Linked DNA regions of Stegostoma tigrinum. The protein of the gene in region 3 interacts with the protein of the main gene of each other region in a pairwise test. Links are inferred from orthologs where the notes say so. Each region holds a gene or a part of one and is shown on either strand. Other genes may lie near its edges. The genes, in order: cwf19l2, endonuclease 8-like 2 and meox1.

Region 1 (7,479 bases), on a different chromosome or scaffold from region 3:
CCTCTTCTGTAATGTGAATTTTTTTCAAAACATCACTATTTATTTCCCAAATTCTCTAGCCTCCATTCCTTTCTCAATAGTAAGAACTATTGCGAAATCTTCATTCAGTATCTCTTCCATCTCCTGAGGTTCAACATATAGATAGCTTTATTGATCATTATGGGGCTTGATTCACTCCCTAGCTTTTGCTGTTAACATACTTGCAGACTCTCTTCAGATTATCCTTAAACTTATCTGCCTAGGCTATCACATATGATCTTTTTGCCCGAGATAACAAGGTGTAGAGCTGGATGAACACAGCAGACCAAGCAGCATCAGAGAAGCAGCAAGGCTGACATTTTGGGCCTATACCCTTCTTCAGCCTTCCTGCACCTCTGATGCTGCTTGGCCTGCTGTATTCATCCAGCTCTACTCCTTGTTATCTCAGATTCCCCAGCATCTGCAGTTCCCATGGCCCCTTCTCTTTTTGCCCTCCTGATTTCCCTCTCAAGAATGACTCTACACTCTTTATACTCTTCAAGGCATTCATTAGATCCCAGCTGCCCATATCTAATGTACGACTCTTATTCTTAACCAGAACCTCAATATCTTTATTCATCCATTGACCCCTACTCTTATCAGCTTTGCCCTCCACTCTAATAGGAACAGAGTTCCTCTAAACTCTCATGAGCACACCATTAAAAGCTTCCACTTGTCAAATTGCATGGTGTTCTATCTATAAATATAACACCTCCTTTACAGGCATTTTTGATTAACTGGCACCATCTCCTGGAGCATATAGTTTTCTTACATAAAGGCGAATATTAGGATCTAAAATGAACTGCCTTAGTGTGTTGTGCAGCCAAACAGATTAGGCCTTTCAAAATGAAACTAGATAAACAACTGACAATAAATGATTTGCAGTGTTAAAGAAAAAAGAGCAAGGGAATTGAGCTAGGTGATCTTTCCTGTGCAGACTTAGGAAGGCAAATGGTCTCCTTTGGTGCTATAACCATTTCCTGTTTCTACGAATACGTGTATATTGTTGTAAAATACTAATTTTTTTTACAAAAAGCTACCAATTTTAACTTCTGACTTGAATTCAGATGAATTAACAAGGCTGAAATCTTGATCAAGTGCTGCAATATCTTGCCACTATGCTTCACCAACTCACATAACAATTTATTTCATCGCGAATGCGAGGAATGCACAGAAAACAGCTTTACTTAAAAAGGGCCAAAGTACAAAATATTTAGATTTTACTTCAGTTTTCCTTTCCTCCTATAATATTTTTCCTGCTGAAGATATGCACATGAGAACATGCAAAATTAGGAGCAGGCCATTCACCACCTCGCCTCCAAATCATCAAGTACATAGGATGGCGTGTAGAGGGTGGGCCTTTGTTGGAAAGGGAATGAAGGTTAGAATTAGGGCACTGAGAAGTTCACACCTGAAATACTCTATAGTTTTGTTCCCTTACACAAGGTAAGATATACCTGCATTACAAGCAGTTCAGAAAAGCACAATGATTCTGAGGGAGCTTAACAGGGCAGATGTTAAGAGGATTTTCTTTTGCGCTCACATGAGAATTTAGAATTCAAACAAGTACGTTCAAAATTAGATGTCATCCATTTGTGACAGAGATGAGCAGCAAATCTTCTCTGAGGATTCTTAATCTTTGAAATTCCCTTCCACAGAGCAGTGGGGTCACTATGTTCAAGGTAGAGTTAGACAGATTCTTGATAGACAAGGGAGTCAAGGGCTGTGAGGGATATGTAAACATATGAACTGAGGCAACAGTAAGCCTTTAAGCCCCTCAATCCTAGATTCCATTCAATAAAATCATGGCAGATTGGATCACTCCACATTCCTGTCTACACACAACAGCCTTTCACCCACTTGTTCACCAAGAACTTGTCTACCTTTACCTTAAAAATATTCAAGGGCTCTGCTTCCACAACATTTTGGGATCCAAAAACTCATAACCCGCAAAAAAATCTTATCTGCCCAAAATAGGTGACCCCTTATTTTTAAGATAGTTAGATCTATGAGTCACTTTGCTTACAAAGAAGAAACAACCTTTTCACCTGCAATCTGTCAAGACCCTCAGGATCCTGAATATTTCAACCAAGTGCATCTTACTCTTCTAACTCCTGCAAAATCAAGCCTAGCCTGTCCCAATATTTCCTCAGAAGACAATTTGTCCATTCCAGATATGAGTTTAGCAAGGGTGCTTTTACCTCCTTCCTTAAAAAGGAAACTAATACTGTACAAAGGACTCCAAATGTATACTCACCAATGCTCCACATAACTGAAGTATAATCTACCAACGTTTATATTCAATTCCCCTAACAATAAATAATAACATTTTCTTGTTATCCTACTTAGTTGTTGCACCCGCTCAATAATATTTTGCAACTCATGCACTTGGACGCTTAGATCCCTCCAAACCTAAGAGTTCAGCAATCTCTTACTGCTTAGACAATATGCTTTTTTATTCTTCCTGCCAAAATCGACAATTTTGTATTTCCGCACGTTATACTCCGTTTGCCAGATCCTTGCCCATTCATTGGAGTCTACAACATTTGGCAGCCTCCTTACGAGCACTTTACAACTTGCATTACTAATTATTTTTAAATTTAGCAGCTATATCTTCAATCCCTTCATCCAAGCCATATCTATAAACTAAAAATAAGGACACCCCAGCACTTTTTAATTGACACGAATAAACTAATTAAATACAAACAGTAAAGGTTAACTTTATAAGTGAATTCACCCAACCCTTGCGAAGTTGACATTCCTCGGGCTGTCAACAACGCCGTAAGCTATTTGGCCTCTCGCTGTGTTTACTATGGGTGATGGGGAGGGGGCTCGGTTAAAAGTGTTAGATCGTCTGCGTCCTGGTCACGGCTGATGCAAACAAATAGACAGAACTGAGACAATACCTTGGTCACAATTTCCTCTCTCGCTTTTCGTTTAAATTCTCTTCGTTCCTCGATTGCTTTCGCACTTTCAAACCTGCCTCCGTATTCCGCCATCTTGCCTTTACCTTAGCAACAAGAACTTTTACGACAGCCGTCGTGAAGATTCGCCGGTGTCCCGGAAGCTGCGCGCGCACACTTGGAAGAATTGTTGCTTTCTTCTCCTTTTCAGTTGTTTATACGAGAATTAGATATAAACAAAAACAGAAGTTATTGGAAAAGCTCAGCAGGTCTGGCAGCATCTGTGAAAAATAGTCAGAGCGTTCTGAGGAAAGGCCACTGAACCCGAAACGTTAACACTGATTTTTTTTCCTTCACAAATATTGCCAGACCTGCTGACCTTTTCCAGCAACTTATGTTTTTGTTTCTGATTTACAGCATCCTCAGTTCTTTCGGTTTTAATTGGATATAAACGTTCATTTCTAGTATCAAAATATATGCTAGTGCAAAAGAAAAGTCAAATTTTGTCAGATTTTAAAATCTACAGTTTAGTGTCAACTGAGGAATAATAAGCAAAACTTAAAAATTGGCAGATAACAAAGTGTGGAGCTGGATGAACACAGCAGGCCAAGCAGCATCTCAGGAGCACAAAAGCTGACGTTTCGGGCCTAGACCCTTCATCAGAGAGGGGGATGGGGAGAGGGTTCTGGAATAAATAGGGAGAGAAGGAGAGGCGGACTGAAGATGGAGAGAAAAGAAGATAGGTGGAAAGGAGAGTGTAGGTGGGGAGGGGATAGGTCAGTCCAGGGAAGACAGACAGGTCAAGGAGGTGGGATGAGGTTAGTAGGTAGGAGATGGAGGTGCGGCTTGAGGTCGGAGGAAGGGATGGGTGAGAGGAAGAACAGGTTAGGGAGGCAGAGACAGGCTGGGCTGGTTCTGGGATGCAGTGGAGGAAGGGGATGAGCTGGGCTGGTTGTGTGATGCAGTGGGGGGAGGGGACAAACTGGGCTAGTTTTGGGATGCAGTTGGGGAAGGGGAGATTTTGAAGCTGGTGAAGTCCACATTGATACCATTGGGCTGCAGGCTTCCCAAGCGGAATATGAGTTGCTGTTCCTGCAACCTTCGGGTGGCATCCTTGTGGCACTGCAGGAGGCCCATGATGGACATGTCGTCGAAAGAATGGGAGGGGGAGTTAAAATGGTTCGCGACTGGGAGGGGCAGTTGTTTATTGCGAACTGAGCGGAGGTGTTCTGCAAAGCGGTCCCCAAGCCTCCGCTTGGTTTCCCCAATGTAGAGGAAGCCGCACCGGGTACAGTGGATGCAGTATACCACATTGGCAGATGTGCAGGTGAACCTCTGCTGAATGTGGAAAGTTATCTTGGGGCCTCGGATGGGGGTGAGGGAGGGGGTGAGGGGGCAAGTGTAGCACTTCCTGCGGTTGCAGGGGAAGGTGCCGGGTTTGGTGGGGTTGGAGGGGAGTGTGGAGCAAACAAGGGAGTCAGAGAGAGAGTGTTCTCTCCGGAAAGCAGACAAGGGTGGGGGTGGAAAAATGTCTTGGGTGGTGGGGTTGGATTGTAGATGGCAGAAGTGTCGGAGGATGATGCGTTGTATCCGGAGGTTGGTGGGGTGGTGTGTGAGAACGAGGGGGATCCTCTTGGGGTGGTTGTGGCGGGGGCGGGGTGTGAGGGATGTGTTGCGGGAGACGCCGTCAAGGGCATTCTCGATCACTATGGGGGGAAAGTTGCGGTCCTTGAAGAACTTGTACATCTGGGATGTGCGGGAGTGGCATGTCTCATCCTGGGAGCAGATGCGGAGGAATTGGGAATAGGGGATGGAATTTTTGGAGGAAGGTGGGTGGGAGGAGGTGTATTCTAGGTAGCTGTGGGAGTCAGTGGGCTTGAAATGGACATCAGTTTCTAGCTGGTTACCTGAGATGGAGACTGAGGGGTCCAGGAAGGTGAGGGATGTGTTGGAGATGGCCCAGTTGAACTTGAGGTTGGGGTGGAAGGTGTTGGTGAAGTGGATGAACTGTTCGAGTTCCTCTGGGGAACAAGAGGCGGCGCCGATACAGTCATCAATGTAACAGAGGAAAGAGGTGGGGTTTGGGGCCTGTGTAGGTGCGGAAGAGGGACTGTTCCACGTAACCTACAAAGAGGCAGACATAGCTTGGGCCCATGCAGGTACCAATGGCCACCCCCTTTGTAGGAAGTGGGAGGAATCGAAAGAGAAGTTGTTGAGGGTGAGGACGAGTTCGGCTAGGCGGATGAGGGTGTCGGTGGAGGGGACTGGTCGGGCCTGTGGGACAGGAAGAAGCGGAGGGCCTTGAGGCCATCTGCATGAGGAATGCAGGTGTATAGGGACTGGATGTCCATGGTGAAAATGAGGTGTTGGGGGCCAGGGAATTGGAAGTTCTTCTTCTCACCCATCCCTTCCTCCCACCTCGAGCCGCACCTCCATTTCCTACCTACTAACCGCATCCCACCTCCTTGACCTGTCCGTCTTCCCTGGACTGACCTATCCCCTCCCTACCTCCCCACCTATACTCTCCTCTCCACCTATTTTCTTTTCTCTCCATCTTTGGTCCACCTCCCCCTCTCTCCCTATTTATTCCAAAACCCTCTCCGACGAAGGGTCTAGGCCCAAAATGTCAGCTTTTATGCTCCTGAGATGCTGCTTGGTTTGCTGTGTTCATCCAGCTTCACACTTGATTATCTTGGAATCTCCAGCATCTGCAGTTCCCATTATCTCTTAAAAATTGGCAGGTAGTTGCTTCTGAAGCATAGCTAGGAGGTGCACATCAGGACCGTACAGAGCCCCTGACAAGTAGACTCTAAGAAAAACCCTGAAACAAAATATTACTGCATAAACTCATCAGGACCAGCAGCATCTGTACAGAGATGTGGAGAGAAAGGCTTTCCAACATTCTGTACACCTGTTGAATAAAATTTTCCTGCCAGGTTTGGAATGAGGATTTACAGCATTATTTCGAGTTTCTTCCCCTGTTATGGTGTGCAGAGACTGTCCAACAGAGAGCTGTTCAGGCATACCTAAAAACACACGACCAACAGCTAATTGGTAACTGCCACCTTTGTGTCATGTTGTGACTGGGTTTGCAACTATTATGATCACACCCTAGTTGCCAGTAGCTAACTGACAAAAGACACTAGGGAATTTGCCATCCTTAGAAAAACCTATCTACTGTGTGTTTTATATTTTGCATATCTGAATCAGAACCGCAATGCCCTCAGCCTCCTCTGCTCCAAGGAAAATAAACCCAGCCTGTCCTCATTACTCAGACTTTTCCTCCTAGGCAACGTTTTGTTAAACCTCCCCTGCACACTCTACAATACAATCATATCCCTCATAATGTGTACTCTAGAACTGCACACAATACTCTAGCTATGGCTTTATGCTTTATATAGTTTCAGCTAACCTCCCCCCTCTTAACGTTCATGCCTTGTCTGATGTCGGATCTCTCTGTGACGTACAGGGTGATGCTTACACTTGTTCCTTTGGGTCACACTTTGACCTATCCAGCCCATGGGATCTCATCACGATCAAACAGGGAGTTACAAAACCCTTACTTTTCTGAGGTTTGGAGTATGCTAATATTCCAGAATGCACAAAGTTGTTCCAGATATAGACAGTAGGCTACACGAGTGACGGGATTGTGACAATTATTTGTGCATTCTCTTGTTGAGGCTTCTGCTGCAGTTTAATTGGCAATACTGGCATGGCAGCAGGACTCACGCAGAATTGCAGCAGCCTCCTGGTGGTCTGAGTTGGCAGCAGGAGGTAGTGATTGCTTCCTCTGATCACTGGGAGGAGCTGCAAAGACATGACTCCTTCTGGTGAATGATGCAAGGTTCACAAGCTGACCAAAATTCCAGGCAGTAGCTAGGCCCAGGTGGGTCCAAGTGGATCCAAACACTTGTATGGAGATAAGATTTAAATTTTTAACATTCTTTTATTTCTGCCAATGTTTTCTTTTTAAATTCTGGTTTTGTAACCAAGATGCCACTGGAGAAGGGTGACTTTGTACACTTTTCACTGTATGTTTTACTTGAGTACACATCAAAAAATTCTAATAATGGCATAATCCCATCTGCCTTCTCAACCACTCTAGCTACTTGTCCTGCTACCACTGTACATGCTCTGCAGGGTGCCCCGATCCTTGGTACTTCCCAGGGTACTACCATTCATCATGTCCAGGTGCATCACTTCAAACTTATCCAGATTGGATTACATTTGCCACCAATCAGCCTGTCTATATCCTCCTATAACCTAAGGTTAGCCCATTCACCCCACTGGAAACAGACTTCCAGTCTCAAACACAGCCCTCAACCACCACCCTCTCCTTCCTATCACTAAACCAATCCTGAAACCAACTTGCCAAATTTCTTTGGATGCCATGGGTTCTTACCTTCACGATCGGTCTCTCATTTGCAACTTTGTCAAAAGCCTTGCCATTCCAAATTGGCTGCATTAGAATGCATTGCCCTCTTCTACACAGCTGGTCACCTCTGAATTTTTCAATCATATTGGTCACAAATGGCATCTCCTTGACAAAACCATACTG
Region 2 (7,928 bases), on a different chromosome or scaffold from region 3:
GGACTTCCTTTGTTTCTGAGATGATAACTGGGTACCCGGCAAAGGCACAAGAACGTGGGAACAATCAACTCCTGACCGAGGTAAAACAGTAAACACAAATATCAAACATGCCCAGCTTCTCCCTTCACAAACTACTTTCCTACCACCATCTGTTAATAGTCTGGAATGTGTTACTGACCAAGGCCAGAGAACAGCTGTTGGTTGAGCAGGGTGTAGCAGACAGGCTGAGCTTGTTTCAGTGCCTGTAGTGCCACATTCCTGTCGAACTTCGGGTGCAGGATGTCAGAGGTATGTCCAGAGGAAGGGCTGCTGCAGAGACAGATCCGGCAGTTATAGAACACAAGAAACTGCTCTCCGGGGAAATAGAGCACCAACCTGTTGACACAGAGAGAGAGAGAGAGAGAGAGAGAGAGAGAGAGAGGTGAAGAGAATGATTAGCATCTCTCCTCACAGAACTCCACTCAGAATTTCAACCTCCTCATTCACACTATTCTGTCCTCTGACTTCTGTTTACTTCCTCAAACCAGATAAGGGTCCTGTGGCCTGTTGCCCCTCTGGGTGCTCAGGGTGAGAGCTGATTTTCCCTATTAGTCTGAACACAGAGAGCTTGCAGTTCCCCAATGAAAAGGGGATCACTCTCATTAAAATACAATATAGTCTGACCCTGATCCAGACCTGAACTCCCATCTCTCTGCCCACCTCCCTCTGGGGTGAAGAGAGATTAAGTTCATCAGCAATTCTAAGAACAGTATTTATTTAAAAAGAACCAAAGGTTGTAAACTTGTAGATTGAGAAAGTTTTAATTAAATATCAGCCAAACGATGATTAAGAGGGAGGAGAAAAAAAAATGACAGAAAACTGGCTAGAAATACCTAGATAACAAGGTGTAGAGCTGGATGAACACAGCAGGCCAAGCAGCATCAGAGGAGCAGGAAAGCTGATGTTTTGGGCCTAGACCCTTCTTCTGAAATGGGGGATCCCCCTTCCCCTCCCCCCATTTCTGAAGGCAGCTCTAGCCACACCTCCATTTCCTGCCTACTAACCTCATCCCACCTCCTTGACCTGTCCGTCTTCCCTGGACTGACCTATCCCCTCCCTACCTCCTCACCTATACTCTCCTCTCCACCTATCTTCTTTTCTCTCCATCTTCGGTCTGCCTCCCCCTCTCTCCCTATTTATTCCAGAACCCTCACCCCATCCCCCTCTCTAATGAAGGGTCTAGGCCCAAAACGTCAGCTTTTGTGCTCCTGAGATGCTGCTGGGCCTGCTGTGTTCATCCAGCCTCACGTTTTATTAGCCTAGATGATAACCCCATTTCTCTCACCAACTTGCTTTTACCATACCTTGGTGATGGATCCTGCCAGTCTCCCTTCTTATTGGCACCTTTTGCCCGTGAAAACTCATTGGCCCGAACACTTCCAAACATCCCAAAGTGAAATCGCAGCCATTGCATTTCATGCTGATGGTTCAACTGGTCTTGCCCCAAGGACAGGGCACTGCTTTCCCAAGTCTCCTCCTGCTCTTTTCTCATGGTGCCCCCCTCTATCACTTGTTGCTTGCTGGCGGAGCCCTGTGCTGGTACCCAGGCTGGATCAGGCATCTTCTGGGCATGTGCAATCCCTAGTTTTGGACAATTGGATTCCAGTCTATGGCCAACAGAAGCAAAGCCCAGGAAGAGATTTTTGCCATGGACCTGAACCAAAGAGAAAGACTTAGTTTTAATCAGAAACAGCATAAGGCAGTGTTGGGAGTCAAGTGTGTTAGACATACAGAGAGATTCCAAGACCGTGAGTTAGATGGAATGAGCACACTAACCATATATCCAGCAAAACCAGAGATATTCCAAACAAACAACACAGCAAGTTCCAAACAGAGCAAACAACAAATGAAGCACGAGTCACGGTGGAAGGGAGAGAGGAACAAAGTGAGAGAGTAACCCACAATCTAACCACTCAGGGTTACTATTGACCGGAAACTCAACTGCACAAGCCACATAAGTATATGATATAACAAGATGTGGAGCTGGATGAACTACAAGAGCAGGTCAGAGGCTAGGAATACCATAGCAAGTAACTCACCTACCGACACCCCGAAGCCTGTCCACCACCTACAGAGCACAGGTCAGTAGCGTGATAGAATACTCGCCATGTGCCTGGATAGAGCAGCTCCAATAACACTCGAGGATCTCAACACACTCCAGGACAGAGTAGCCCTGTTGTTGGTGTGAATGTTTGTGGATGTGATGCCAATGACACTCAGTAGGAGCAGTGTGCACTCTCTACAAGACGTACTGCAGTGATTCAATAGGGGTCCTTCAGCAGCAACGTCCAAATCCACAACTACTTCCATCGAGAAAGACAGGTGTAGCAGGTACATGGCTCACTACCCCCACAGGTTCGTCTCCAAGCCACTCACCGTCCTGACTTGGAAATATATCACCATTCCTTTCCTGTCACTAGGACAAAATCTTGGAACTCTCTCACTAATAGCAACCTACACCAAAATGACTGCAGTGGTTCAAGGCAGTTCACCATCACCTTCTCAAGTGCACCTAGGGCCAGCCAATGAATACTGGCTCAGCCAGCAACACCCACAATCCCTACACAAATAATAAAACAAATGGAAAGAGAAGTAAGATCAAAGTGCAAAAAGAAAGGAACAAATCATACTCACTTCACTGTGCTGCAGTCTGAGACCCACAAATTGTTGCAGACACACCTGTCTGGTGCTCCCCGAGGCTCTCTGCACAACTTTGCCAACGAAAGGGGAGGTCACAGAATGAAACACTCTCACTGAAGGGCCTTCCGGCATCTCCCTTACACAGACAACTATCACTCCGCTGTACTGTCTGCAGAACAAGGCCTCAACAACAGTGACTCTATCCCCAACTTGTCTTCAAGCAGAAAACCTGCAAACAATTGACCAAGCACCAGAATTCAATGCTTTGACTTGGCTCAAAGGATGAGACAAAAGGCAGGCAACGGGGATTGGCATACAATAAATGCAAAAAGCAAACCAATCACAGAGTGCTGTCAGAATGGTATATTCTGAGAGGACCCTCCTCCCAGGGGATTGTGGTCTCCCCGTGGCCCATCCTCCCAGGGGGTGTGGTTTCCCTGAGGCCATTTCCCCAGTGGGTGTGGTCTCCCTGTGGCCCATCCTCCCAGGTTCAGGGGAGTTTGTTCCCCTTGTGCTGAAAACATAAGTCATGGCAGGTCAAACAATATCCATAGAGAGCAAGCAAGCCATCATTTCAAGAGTAGATGACTCATCAGAGTGCTTGCCTTGTGGTTCCTCTTCAAAGAACAAAGAAAATTACAGCACAGGAACAGGCCCTTCAGCCCTCCAAGCCTGTGCCGATCGAGATCCTCTGTCTAAACCTGTCACCTATTTTCCAAGGATCTGTATCCCTCTGCTCCCTGCCCATTCATGTATCAGCCTAGGTACATCTTAAATGACGCTATCATGCCTGTCTCTACCACTTCTGCTGGCAACGCGTTCCAGGCACCCACCACACTCTGCATAAAGAACTTTACACGCATATCTCCCTTAAACCTTTCCCCTCTCACCTTGAAATCGTGACCCCTAGTAATTGAGTCCCCCACTCTGGGGAAATAGCTTCTTGCTATCCAACCTGTCTACACCTCTCATGATTTTGTAGACCTCAATTAGGTCCCCCCTCAATCTCCATCTTCTAATGAAAATAATCCTAATCTACTTAAACTCTCTTCATAGCAAGTGCCCGCCATACCAGGCAACATCCTGCAGTGCCACAATGATGCCACCCGAAGGTTGCAGGAACAGCAACTCATATTCCGCTTGGGAACCCTGCAGCCCAATGGTATCAATGTGGATTTCACAAGCTTCAAAATCTCCCCTCCCCCCACTGCATCCCAAAACCAGCCCAGCTCGTACCGACCTCCCTAACCTGTTCTTCCTCTCACCTATGCCCTCCTCCCACCTCATGCCGCACTGCCATTTCCCACCTCCTAATCTCATCCTACCCTCTTGACATGTCCGTCTTCCCTGGACTGACCTATCCCCTCCCTACCTCCCCGCCTACACTCACCTTTACTGGCTCCATCCCTGCCTCTTTAATCTGTCTGTCTCCTCTCCAGAAATAATGGAAACTGCAGATGCTGGAGAATCCAAGATAACAAAGTGTGAAGCTGGATGAACACAGCAGGCCAAGCAGCATCTCAGGAGCACAAAAGCTGACGTTTCGGGTCTAGACCCTTCATCAGAGTCTCCTTCATCATGTCTCCTCTCCACCAATCTTCTCCTCTATCCATCTTCAATCCAACTCCCCCTCTCTCCCTATTTAATTCAGAACCCTCTTCCCCTCCCCCATTTCTGATGAAGGATCTGGGCCCGAAACATCAGCTTTCCAGCTCCTAAGATGCTGTTTAGCCTGCTGTGTTCATCTAGCTACACACTATATTATCTTGGATTTTCCAGCATCTGAAGTTCCTATTATCCTGGTGAACCTCCTCTGCACTCTCTCCAAAGCATCCACATCCTTTTGGTAATGTGACGACCAGAACTGTACACAGTATTCCAACTCTTGTAGTCAATACCCTGCCCGATGAATGAAAGCATGCCGTATGCCTTCTTAACCACTCTATCGATCTCCGTTGCCACCTTCAGGGTATAATGGACCTGAACACCCAGATCTCTCTATCCATCAATTTTGCCCAGGGGCTTTTCTATTTACCACATAGTTCGCTCTTGAATTAGATCTTCCAAAATGCATCACCTCGCATTTGCCTGGATCGAACTCCATCTGCCATTTTTCTGCCCAACTCTCCAGTCTATCTATATTCTGCTGCATTCTCTGACAGTGTCCTTCACTATCTGATACCCCACCAAACTTAGTGTCATCTGCAAACTTGCTGATCAGACCATCTACACCTTCCTCCAGATCATTTATGTATATTCCCTGGGGTTCTGTGCAGTACTTGGGACAGCACAGTCAAACAGATCTAAGTCAGCATGGCTTTATCAAGAAGAGATCATGTCTGACAAATCTACTAGAATTCTTTGAGTAGATAATGTTTAAGTTAGACAGACGAGAACCAGGGGAAGTGATCAATTTGGATTTTTAGAAGGCCTTTGACAAGGCACTGAACAGGAGGCTGCTAAATAAAAAAAAGAGCCCATGGCATTCGGGGCATGGTACTGGAATGGATAGAGGATTGGCTGCCTGGCAGAAAACAGAGAGTGGGGATAAAGGGATCTTTTTCACGATAACAACCAGTGACTGGTGGAGTTCCACAGGGGTCAGTGTTAGTATCACAACTGTTCACATTAACAATCTGGATGAGGGAACTGGGGACATTATTGCCAGGTAGATGACATGAAAAGAGTTAGAGACAGGTAGTATTGAGGAAGCGGGAAGAGTGCAGAAGGACTTGGACAGGTTATTACCATTCAAATTACCTCTCCTCGGCCCCACCCTCCTCCTGCCTCCTTGGTCTGACACTACCTGTCCATCTTCCTCCCCACCAATCTGCCCCACCCTTCCTACTGACCAATCCCCACCATGTCCTACCTGCACTCACCTATCACCATCCCACATACCTTCCCCCAGCCCCAACCCTCCTCCCTCTATTTATTTCCCAGCTCCCTTTCCCGTCCCCACTTCTGAAGAAAGGTCCTGACCTGAAACAATGACTTTCCTGCTCCTCTGATGCTGCCTGGCCTGCTGCGTTCATCCAGATTCACACTGTGTTGATTTTGACTCGAGCATCTGCAGTTCATGCTGTCAAAGACCGCAGAAGGACTTGGACAGGATAGGAGAAGAAGCAGCAGATCGAATATATTGTGATAAATTGTGAAGCTTTACATTTTGTCAGGAAGGATAGAGGTGTAGACTATTTTCTTAATGGGAAAAGACTTTGGAAATCTGAAGCAGAAAAGGTACTTGGGAGTCCTAGTTTGGGTTTCTCTAAGGTGAATATGTGGCTTCAGTTGGCAGTTAGAAATGCAAATGCAGTGTTAGTATTCATTTCAAGAGGGCGAGAATACAGGAGCAGAGATGTACTGCTGAATTTGTATATGGCTCTGCCACTGCCTTTGGATATTGTGAGTAGATTTGGGTCCCAATCTAGAAGATAGGAGCAGGAGGAGGCCATTCAGCCCTTGAAGCCTACTCCACCATTCTTCATGATCATGGCTGATTGACTAACTCAAGAGCCTAATCTTGCTTTCTCTCCATAACCTTTGATCCCATTCACCTCCAAGTGCTATATCTAGTCACCTCTGGAATACATTCAATGTTTTGGCATCAACTACTTCCTGTGGTAATGAATTCCACAGACTTACCACTCTTTGGGTGAAGAAATGTCTCCTCATCTCCATCCTAAATGGTCTCCCACAAATCCTCAGACTGTAACCCCTGGTTCTGGACACACCCACCATCGGGAACTTCTTCCCTGCATCTACTCTGTCCAGTCCTGTTAGAATTTTATACGTCCCTATGAGACTCCTCCCTCATTCATCTGAGCTCCAGCAAAAACAATTCTAACCTAGTCAATCCCTCCTCATATATCACCCCCAGAATCAGCCTGGTAAACCTTCACTGCACTCCCTCGAAAGCTAGAGCATCCTTCCTCAGAAAAGGATACCAAATAATGTTCTAGGTACAGTGTCACCAAGGCCCCGTATAACTGCAACAACAAATCCCTGCTCCTGTACTCTCAACCTCTCGCAACGAAGGCCAACATACCATTTACCGTCTTTACCGCCTGCTGCACCTGCATGCTTACCTTCAGCATCTGGTGCACAAGGACACCTGGGTCCCGCTGCGCGCTCCCCTCTCCCAATTTACAGCCATTCAGGTAGTAATCTGCCACCTTGTTTTTGCTTCTGAAGTGAATAATCTCACATTTATCCAAAATATATGCTATCTTTCATCGATTTGCCCACTCACCCAACCTGTAGTGATCATGCTGATGGATTTCTGTATCCTCAGCAAGTCCCCGCCACCACCCCCTACCCACCCACCCAACTTCGTATCATTTGCAAGCTTGGAGATGTTACACTTTGTTCCCTTATCCAAATTATTCATATATATTATGAATAGCTGGGGTCCCAGTGAGATGTTAATGTGAATACATGCCATTGATTTCTATACTTTTATAAATTCAAGTCTTTTATCTGCATTTTATTCCTATACAGAGACTTTAATTTATAGAAGTAAAGTCTTTTATCTACCTACACATCGGTATGCAGGCACTGCCCTGAAGCTTCCTGCCTAGCTAGGAATTCAGTGTAAAGCTTTTGTAACTCCTTGTCTTCTCACACATCGGTACGCAGACACTGTCTTAAGCTTCCTGACTGAATTAAAATTAGAATCAAACTGTTTCAAATGGGTTAGGTGGGGAAAATTTGTAAAGGCGTGAAACCTCTAAAGCATGTAACTTCTGTTGCTGACAAAGGGGCCAGGGCACTGACTGTTCTAGCCAGACACACTGGCAACTTGAACTCACAACTCAAAATCGCCTCCTGCCATTAGCAGCTACTTCACTAGCAATCAATACTATATCCTGGTCTTTTATTTTGTTGATGGAATAATTGTTTGGTATCCTGTTTTTGTCTGTTGTAGTAATTGTTTTATGTATCATGCCATTGTAAATTATGAAATCGTTTTATGTATCATGTCTTTTGTAAAGTATAAAAAGCGGGGACTGTCCGCTGCTCGGAGAGAATTACTTGCGAGACTCTGTACTCTGTGCCGGGTCGAGTACCGTGATTCTCCACAGCTTGTACTTGCTTGGTAATAAAAGGATTTGTGTTTTTCCAAACAGGTCAGTGTCTTGTTATTGCAGCAAGTCCGTGAGGGTCTCTGAAAACGAGCCTGACACCAGCACTGATCCCTGTGGCACCCCACTAGTTACTGCCTGCTAATGTGAAAATAATTCATTAAT
Region 3 (6,922 bases):
ACAAAAATGACTGTGTTTTCTAAAAACTATGAATGCTCGCAACACTAGTCAATCACCAAAGCTGAACTGGTTACAATGAAAATACATTATTCAAGCATATTTCCCACTTACAACTGAAGTAGAATGTATCAAATAAAACAATTGTATCTGGTGAAGGGCTACCTAGAACACTTGCATCACTTTCACTCCTCAAAAAACTTGCAAACTTTTAGAAAATTTCTAAAATTCCAAATAATCAAGCTTAGACATTATTAATTTTGTGAAACAAAATTACAAAAATGTTAAAATTAATGAGCAAAAACATTGACTCCAAGTTACAGAAAACAAGCACAAATCAAATTAGAATAAGAAGTTATTTTCTTTCATTGCATAAATCATTTAAATTTTCTGAAATTAAAATAATTTTGAATCATTTTGAATTTGGAAAGCTTCCCTCCTCCAAATCAGAAAGTTCAATGAGTTTTTTTTAAATGTTGGTATTTTAGGTGATATGGAATTAGATTTTCCTTGAATGATGTCTATATTTGAAATATTCATACATACTGCACTTACAATATCTCCAGTTCTACTGTATCACCATCTTTCAGCACTTTTCATTTAAGCCGTAAATATACTACTATCTAATGCAGTCCACCAAATCTCACAATTAACTTCATGGCATTTAATACTTGCAAGTGGTTGACTTAGATGTGTTTTATTTGTTAGGGTTTTTCATTAAATTACCATCTTCCTGATTCACTGTTTAAAACACATGAAACATTATAGTTTTAAAGAAAGACCAAAGTTGTAGGAACCATTATGCTAATGTTTGCCTTTCTGTATTTTCAAATGAAATTTGATTTATTTTCTTCAAAAAGTTATTTTGCATGTACATACTACATCACCCACTTAAAAGGTGAAGGTTAATACTAATTTTCAGGCATATCTGAAGCTAGAATATTAAATGGATGCCATCATTTTTTTCATAAATGAGTGCCCTACTATGCTCATTCTGTTCTCAATTTTAGGCTTAAGTTCTATTACATATTAGTACCTGGTACTCTTTAAAATACAAATTAAACTTTGATAATGCAAAACATATGCTGATTTTATGGAAGAAATTTTGGAATATTCTTTGTGCTAATGTGGATTATGTTCTTAAAAACTGCACAAGTATTGTTATAAGATTGAGAATAACTCAAAACATAGCAAATGGTGAAATACAGGAGTCGGTCATATGGTTGAAACGTAATCAGTGAGTTTAAGTGTCAAAAATGAGCAAGAAAGTTTGAATAATTTAACCAAACTGAACTGATATTGGATTTGAATATTTGCTTTCTCTATAGTTATCCATTTCAATACTTTCAGTAAACATTTGTCTTTTGAGAGAAGATTTGAAGGTGTTTCAGATGCCTATGTAACAGGTTCTGAGAATGATGTAAAACTACATGTTATCCACCTAACAGCTAGGAAAGCTGAGGTGCCACTCGCATCCTTTGTGCAGAACTGGTCCAAATCAAGTGATCTTAATGAATGGGATTTGACAACATACAACATGTATATTCAGTTTGGATATAAGGATACTGGTAACCTCCTGATCTTTTTTTTGTTTGCAATTGGGATGATTCCCTGTTTTGTACCTGATTAGGTACCAGTTGGTCCCATTATATCTCCTTATCAGCAATACTCTTGTTTTTGTTATTGAGAATTCTGAATGCACTTCGTTGTATTCGGATGAACTGGGATGGATGAAATGGTTGTCAGGTTAATGGACCAGGGACTAGTCATTTACTGCTCCAACTAACTGAGCTTTGGGGAACAGCTTTTCAATACTAATTCTACTGGTGAACGAAAGGGTAATTTCAAATGAGTGAAATTAGAAACGGCACTGAAATTAATTTTCATAATATTTCAATAACTATTGAAATGTAAGAAACCAGGCTAAAACATTTTTCTCTCATTTCATCTTGTTACAGATGCAACTTTTTTGCAGCTAATTAACTTTTTTTGACAGGTGTGGAAGACCCACAAATAAAGTTTTATCGTTTATAAACTGCATCACTGCAAATGTAATAACGCAGACTCAAAACTTTCAATGGTTTTGGAAAGAAGTCTATTTGGGATTGACCATTTCCTTTTAATTTTGGGCTAAAAAGTGGATTTGAGATCTGCCGTTTTGTTTTTGGTTTGTTGCGGGATTGGGACGAATATAATTCTTCAAAACAAATGAGAATTTGATGCAAGCGATGTTTTGTTATATAAAAAGAAACAAACTTTTACAAGAGTCCCCTGTAGGGTGGAACACACTGTATTTTACTTTGGAAAGCATGTTGCTGGAGTTTTTCTTTAAAAAAGAATCGATATTTAATTTCATGCTTTATTGGGAATAACAATGTGTCTCTCACCTAAAACGTCGCGTTTCCTTTTGGTTACTTTCTTGTCGATGTCGGACGCCGCGATACCCCGCGGGCTACTGTAATCCCCAGCGCTAAGGCAGCCGGCCGCTTGCGAGTTCCCACCGGTTTCGAAATTGGCGGAGCTGGCGGACAGGCAGGAAGTTTGTCTCTCCCTGGCCGCCGTCGGGGCGGGAGGGGGTGGGGCCGGCGGCGGCGGAAGGTGCCACTCGGAGCGGGGGAACCTGGGCGGGTGGTGGTCCACGTAAACGCGGTCCTCTGCGGGGAAGCCGTGCGCCGCTGACACCAGGCACGGCGACGTGAATTCCGAGTAGGCGGTGAAGTCGGCGGGGTCGGACTTCTTGTAGAAGGAGAAAGGCGACGGGTAATGGTGCAGGCCGGGCACGCCGGCCCCGGAATGTGGATTTCTCATACAGCCCCAGACGGTGGCCCCGGAATGCGAATTGCGCATGCAGCTGCCTGTGCTCTGTTCCATGGAGAAGTTGCAAGATGCTCTGTGCACCAGAAAGTGCTTTAAATCCTACAACTCTGCAAAAAAACAAAAATGCAACGATCTTAGCCACTTCAAACCTTCAATTAGCAATTTGCAAAGATCACAAGTTTTTCCTTTTTAAAAAAAAACAAATTGCTGACATGCCTGCACTCTATGAGCCTGACTCCCTCTGAGTGCTTTGGTGGGAAAAGTGACAAGTTTATAGTGTGTAATGTGAGAGGGGCGGGGTTGAGCACCACATGTTGGATTACTCCAACCAAGGAAAACATTGCTGCGATTAATCACGAGCATTACTGTATGCGCAGAAATTTTATATGCACAACTTAATGGCTTTTTCAGACCAGGGACATCACAGACATTTGAAAGCCAGACAGCAGTGTCCCTCCCCAGGTTGTTTTTTTGTGGGGGAAAAAGACGCACATGAACACGTTTGATACAATTTAGAACTGTATCTCAGGAATAGCCTTTGCCTCTCGAACAGTCCAGGGCAGCCACAACACGCACCAATTTTTGGAATAATTCACGTAAAGGTTAAAGTTAAGCACAGCCAAAGTGGGGTAGAAATCATAATGTTAAGCTTCTTTACAATACTCTATTGGGCTGAATAACCTACCTCTGCTCCAATGTTTTATGCTTTAAAGGTTCAGATGATGCCAGTGACTGCATTGAGCTATATTTGTTCAGTGGGTTTACAAAGGTCATGCAACCCTGAGAATCTTCAAAGCGCAAGTATTAAACTTTTTATTCTGTCTGTTCTAGGATGCATAATTTTAATCAAAATAATGTTAGCAAAAACATAGTACTTTTATGTAGTGCCCTTATAACATAGAATAACTTTACAAGGTGCTTCACAAGGACATAATCAGTTGATACTAAGCTAGAAAAGAGCAATGAAGATCAATGGCCAAAATCTGGATGGAAAGGTCTTCAAAAGAAAGAGAGAGAGGAATCATAGAATAGAATCCCTACAGTGTGGGAGCAGGCCATTTGGCCCACTGACTCTCTGAAGAGCATTGCAACCAGACTTATCCCCCTACCCTATCACTGTACCCTGCACTCCCCATGGCTAGGCCACCCAACTGACACATCCCTGGACATCACAGCACGGCCAATTCACCTAAACTGCACATCTTTGGACTGTGGGAGGAAACTAGAGGAAGCCCGCACAGACATGGGGTGAATGTGCAAACCCCACACAGACAGTTGCCTGAGGGTGGGATCGAATCTGGGACGCTGGAGCTGTGAGACGGCAGTGCTAACCAATGAGCTACAGCGCCGCCCCTGCTGAGATGGCTTAAGGCACAGAGAAGTGATACTACATTCAAAGAAGTAAGGGAGGGATGTATATTGTGCCAGAATTGAATGAATGCATGGTTTTTAGAAGGTTTGAGGAGGTTACAGACTTTATTTTCATTCATACGATGTGGTGTAGCAGGCTGGGTCCATCCCTAATTGAACTGAGTCATTCACTCAGCCATTTCAGAGGGCATGGAAGAGTAAACCATATTATAGTGGATCTTGCATCATATATAGGCCAGACTGGGTCTAAACTAGAGGGCAGGGGTTTAAGCTGAGAGGGGAAAGATTTAAAAAGGACCTGAAGAGTAACTTTTCACACACAGGATGGTGCATATATGGAACACATCACCAAAGGAAGTGGCAGAGGTGGGTACATTACAAAATTTAAAAAGGCATCTGGATGGGTACATGAATAGGAAGGATTTAGAGGGATATGGCCCAAATGAGACTAGGTTAGACTGAGATATCTAATTGGTGCAGAGAAGTTGAACCAAAGGGCCTGTTTCCATGCTATATAATTCTATGATAGTAGTTTCCTTCCCTAATAAGCATAGAGTGTACTAGATGGGAGTTTTCAACAACAGTTTCATGGTCAAATTAGGTTTCTAATTCCAAATTTTGATTTATTTTCAAATTCAGATTGCACCATTACCAGGGCAGGATTTGAACCCATGTCCACAGGACATGACCTGGGTCTCTGGATTAGTAGTCGAGTAATAATATCACTAGTCTATTACCTCCCCTTGTCAGAGAGGTGCAGAGTCATAAAGGAACTAAAGTATAACAATGTGAAACTAAAATAAATAGGGATGCTGAAAATCCTATTTAAAAAGACGCACATGAACACGTCAGAAATTGCTGGAAAAACTCAGCAGGTCTGAGAACAGTTCTGAACAAGGGTCACTGGACCCAAAAGGTTAACTCTGATTTCTCTCCGCTATGCTCAGACCTGCTTCATTTTTCCAGCAATTTCTGTTTTTGTTTATAAGTTTGGGAATTTTAAACATTGGTTGATCAGGAGCTAACATATTTTGGGCATGGCTGATGGGTGAACAGGACTGAGCATGAGCAAGAGAAAACATAAGAAGCATTTGTTATTTACATGACTATATCTTGTAGCTATATCATTGCAAAAAAATGTCATTTTTTTTCTTTATCAGGAAACTAGTCAGCAGAGATTGTCGCTATATTTTATGAATATTAAAATATGAATTTACAGGAATTGTTTTATATTAGACTATGGGTTTATTTACTGTTATGGTAAATTTCAAAAACCTTATACAGTGTTTTTGACCCACGGTCCTTTACCTGTATTCGTCATTTTAAATTTCAGACCTTGTGAAGAGAAGAAGAATAAAGTTACATTGGTTACATAACATGTGTTGAGCTGGAAGTATCCTGCAGTCTGTAATTAATAAAACCCAACAGTGACTTTTAATTGCTCAATTACAAAGGCGCAGACCTCCAAGCGGTAGATCTAGCCTTTTGAAACTTCAAGATTTCACAGAGCCAATTATTGCGCATGAATTTTAAGGACCCAATGTATCAATAAAGTGGAGTTTGACAACTTTTATTGATTTTATTAGGCAAGACAGAAAATGACAAAAGAAATGTTACCTACTTTTAGAATCACTACCATGAAAATAACCCACAAATGTGCTAGCAATGTTTCCCCAACTAAAATGGAAGTTTTATTAGGATGTTTAAGAAAATATCTTTCCATTGAGTTATCAATTATTTCAGATGAAATTGGCGGTTGTGGAAAGATTTTTAAGAGTAGAAGATTGAGTGTCAACTTTTAAAAACCAAATATCTACAGAGATCTCAAAGGCAACAATCATGAAAATTAGGTTGTTCTAAGCATCTTGGGACTGAGTCAGTTTGAAACTGTGCCTGTATGAGACCATTACTCTAACCTCTTGACTTTCTTATGTTGAAAATAGAGGATCCAAAAGGCTCACTTTTATGGCTGCATTTGTGCCTGACCGTTGATGGCTCTGCATGCTGATGATTAGCTTCTAAGAGTTAAGTGCCTTAAAGGAGTGGAGATGTGTGTTTGTGTTGGGACGGTCTTTCTTGTGGGAGACATTTTGTCACATTTATATGTAAAGGACTGGGTAGAAACAACTTGCAAAGTGGCATGTCACTGTATATCGTATGGCATCTGATGACACAATATCATTTTACAGGTTAACTAAAATATTATTAAAATAACTATAAGAATATTGTTTCATGCACCACTACAGGCGACAGAGGTATCATAGTTGACATGCCAACATTCCTAGGTGTCCACCCCATTGATGATGCATTAAATTTTCAGTGAATAGTCCTGGAACACAGCCTCCCCTGAATTTTGATGACACAGCCCTTTTAAAATTGATTTAAACTAAAATCAAATTTCTACAGGCACTAGTCTTTTATGCAGTGGAAAGAAACCAAATAATAGTGCTGTTATCATAAAAAGAATGTACATCCAATAATGCAGAATAGCTCCTTTAAATCCTATGTTTTGTCTTTCTTAATCAATTTACATTGTAATCGTCCAAATTCAGAGTATTGCCTCTTGGTTAATTGCACAATCGCAGTCACCTTTTATACACAGAGCCCATTTACCATAAAGAAACGATGTAATTGGCAAATGTAATAGACTACTTTGTCTCAGAAAGGTAGTTGTCAATGCCATGCAGATTTATGTTGAACTGTACAGATTTTAAATTACTCAAGCAAGAGGAAACGT

The links.
Region 1: the proteins of meox1 (region 3) and cwf19l2 interact in binary tests that used the Homo sapiens proteins (3 or more experiments, as listed by UniProt). The two-hybrid records come from large-scale screens. The link is inferred for Stegostoma tigrinum from reciprocal best matches to the Homo sapiens genes MEOX1 and CWF19L2.
Region 2: the proteins of meox1 (region 3) and endonuclease 8-like 2 interact in binary tests that used the Homo sapiens proteins (3 or more experiments, as listed by UniProt). The two-hybrid records come from large-scale screens. The link is inferred for Stegostoma tigrinum from reciprocal best matches to the Homo sapiens genes MEOX1 and NEIL2.

Annotation. Positions count from the first base shown.
Region 1 is NC_081359.1:69,860,894-69,868,372, forward strand, and holds the start of cwf19l2 (CWF19-like protein 2), read right to left. Parts: upstream 3,024-7,479; 5' UTR 3,018-3,023; coding exon 2,925-3,017; intron 1-2,924.
Region 2 is NC_081362.1:98,889,171-98,897,098, forward strand, and holds the start of endonuclease 8-like 2, read right to left. Parts: upstream 3,072-7,928; 5' UTR 2,812-3,071; coding exon 2,674-2,811; intron 1,694-2,673; coding exon 1,344-1,693; intron 376-1,343; coding exon 179-375; intron 1-178. UniProt on the Homo sapiens protein: Involved in base excision repair of DNA damaged by oxidation or by mutagenic agents. Has DNA glycosylase activity towards 5-hydroxyuracil and other oxidized derivatives of cytosine with a preference for mismatched double-stranded DNA (DNA bubbles).
Region 3 is NC_081384.1:16,804,149-16,811,070, forward strand, and holds the start of meox1 (homeobox protein MOX-1), read right to left. Parts: upstream 3,045-6,922; 5' UTR 2,869-3,044; coding exon 2,385-2,868; intron 1-2,384. UniProt on the Homo sapiens protein: Mesodermal transcription factor that plays a key role in somitogenesis and is specifically required for sclerotome development. Required for maintenance of the sclerotome polarity and formation of the cranio-cervical joints.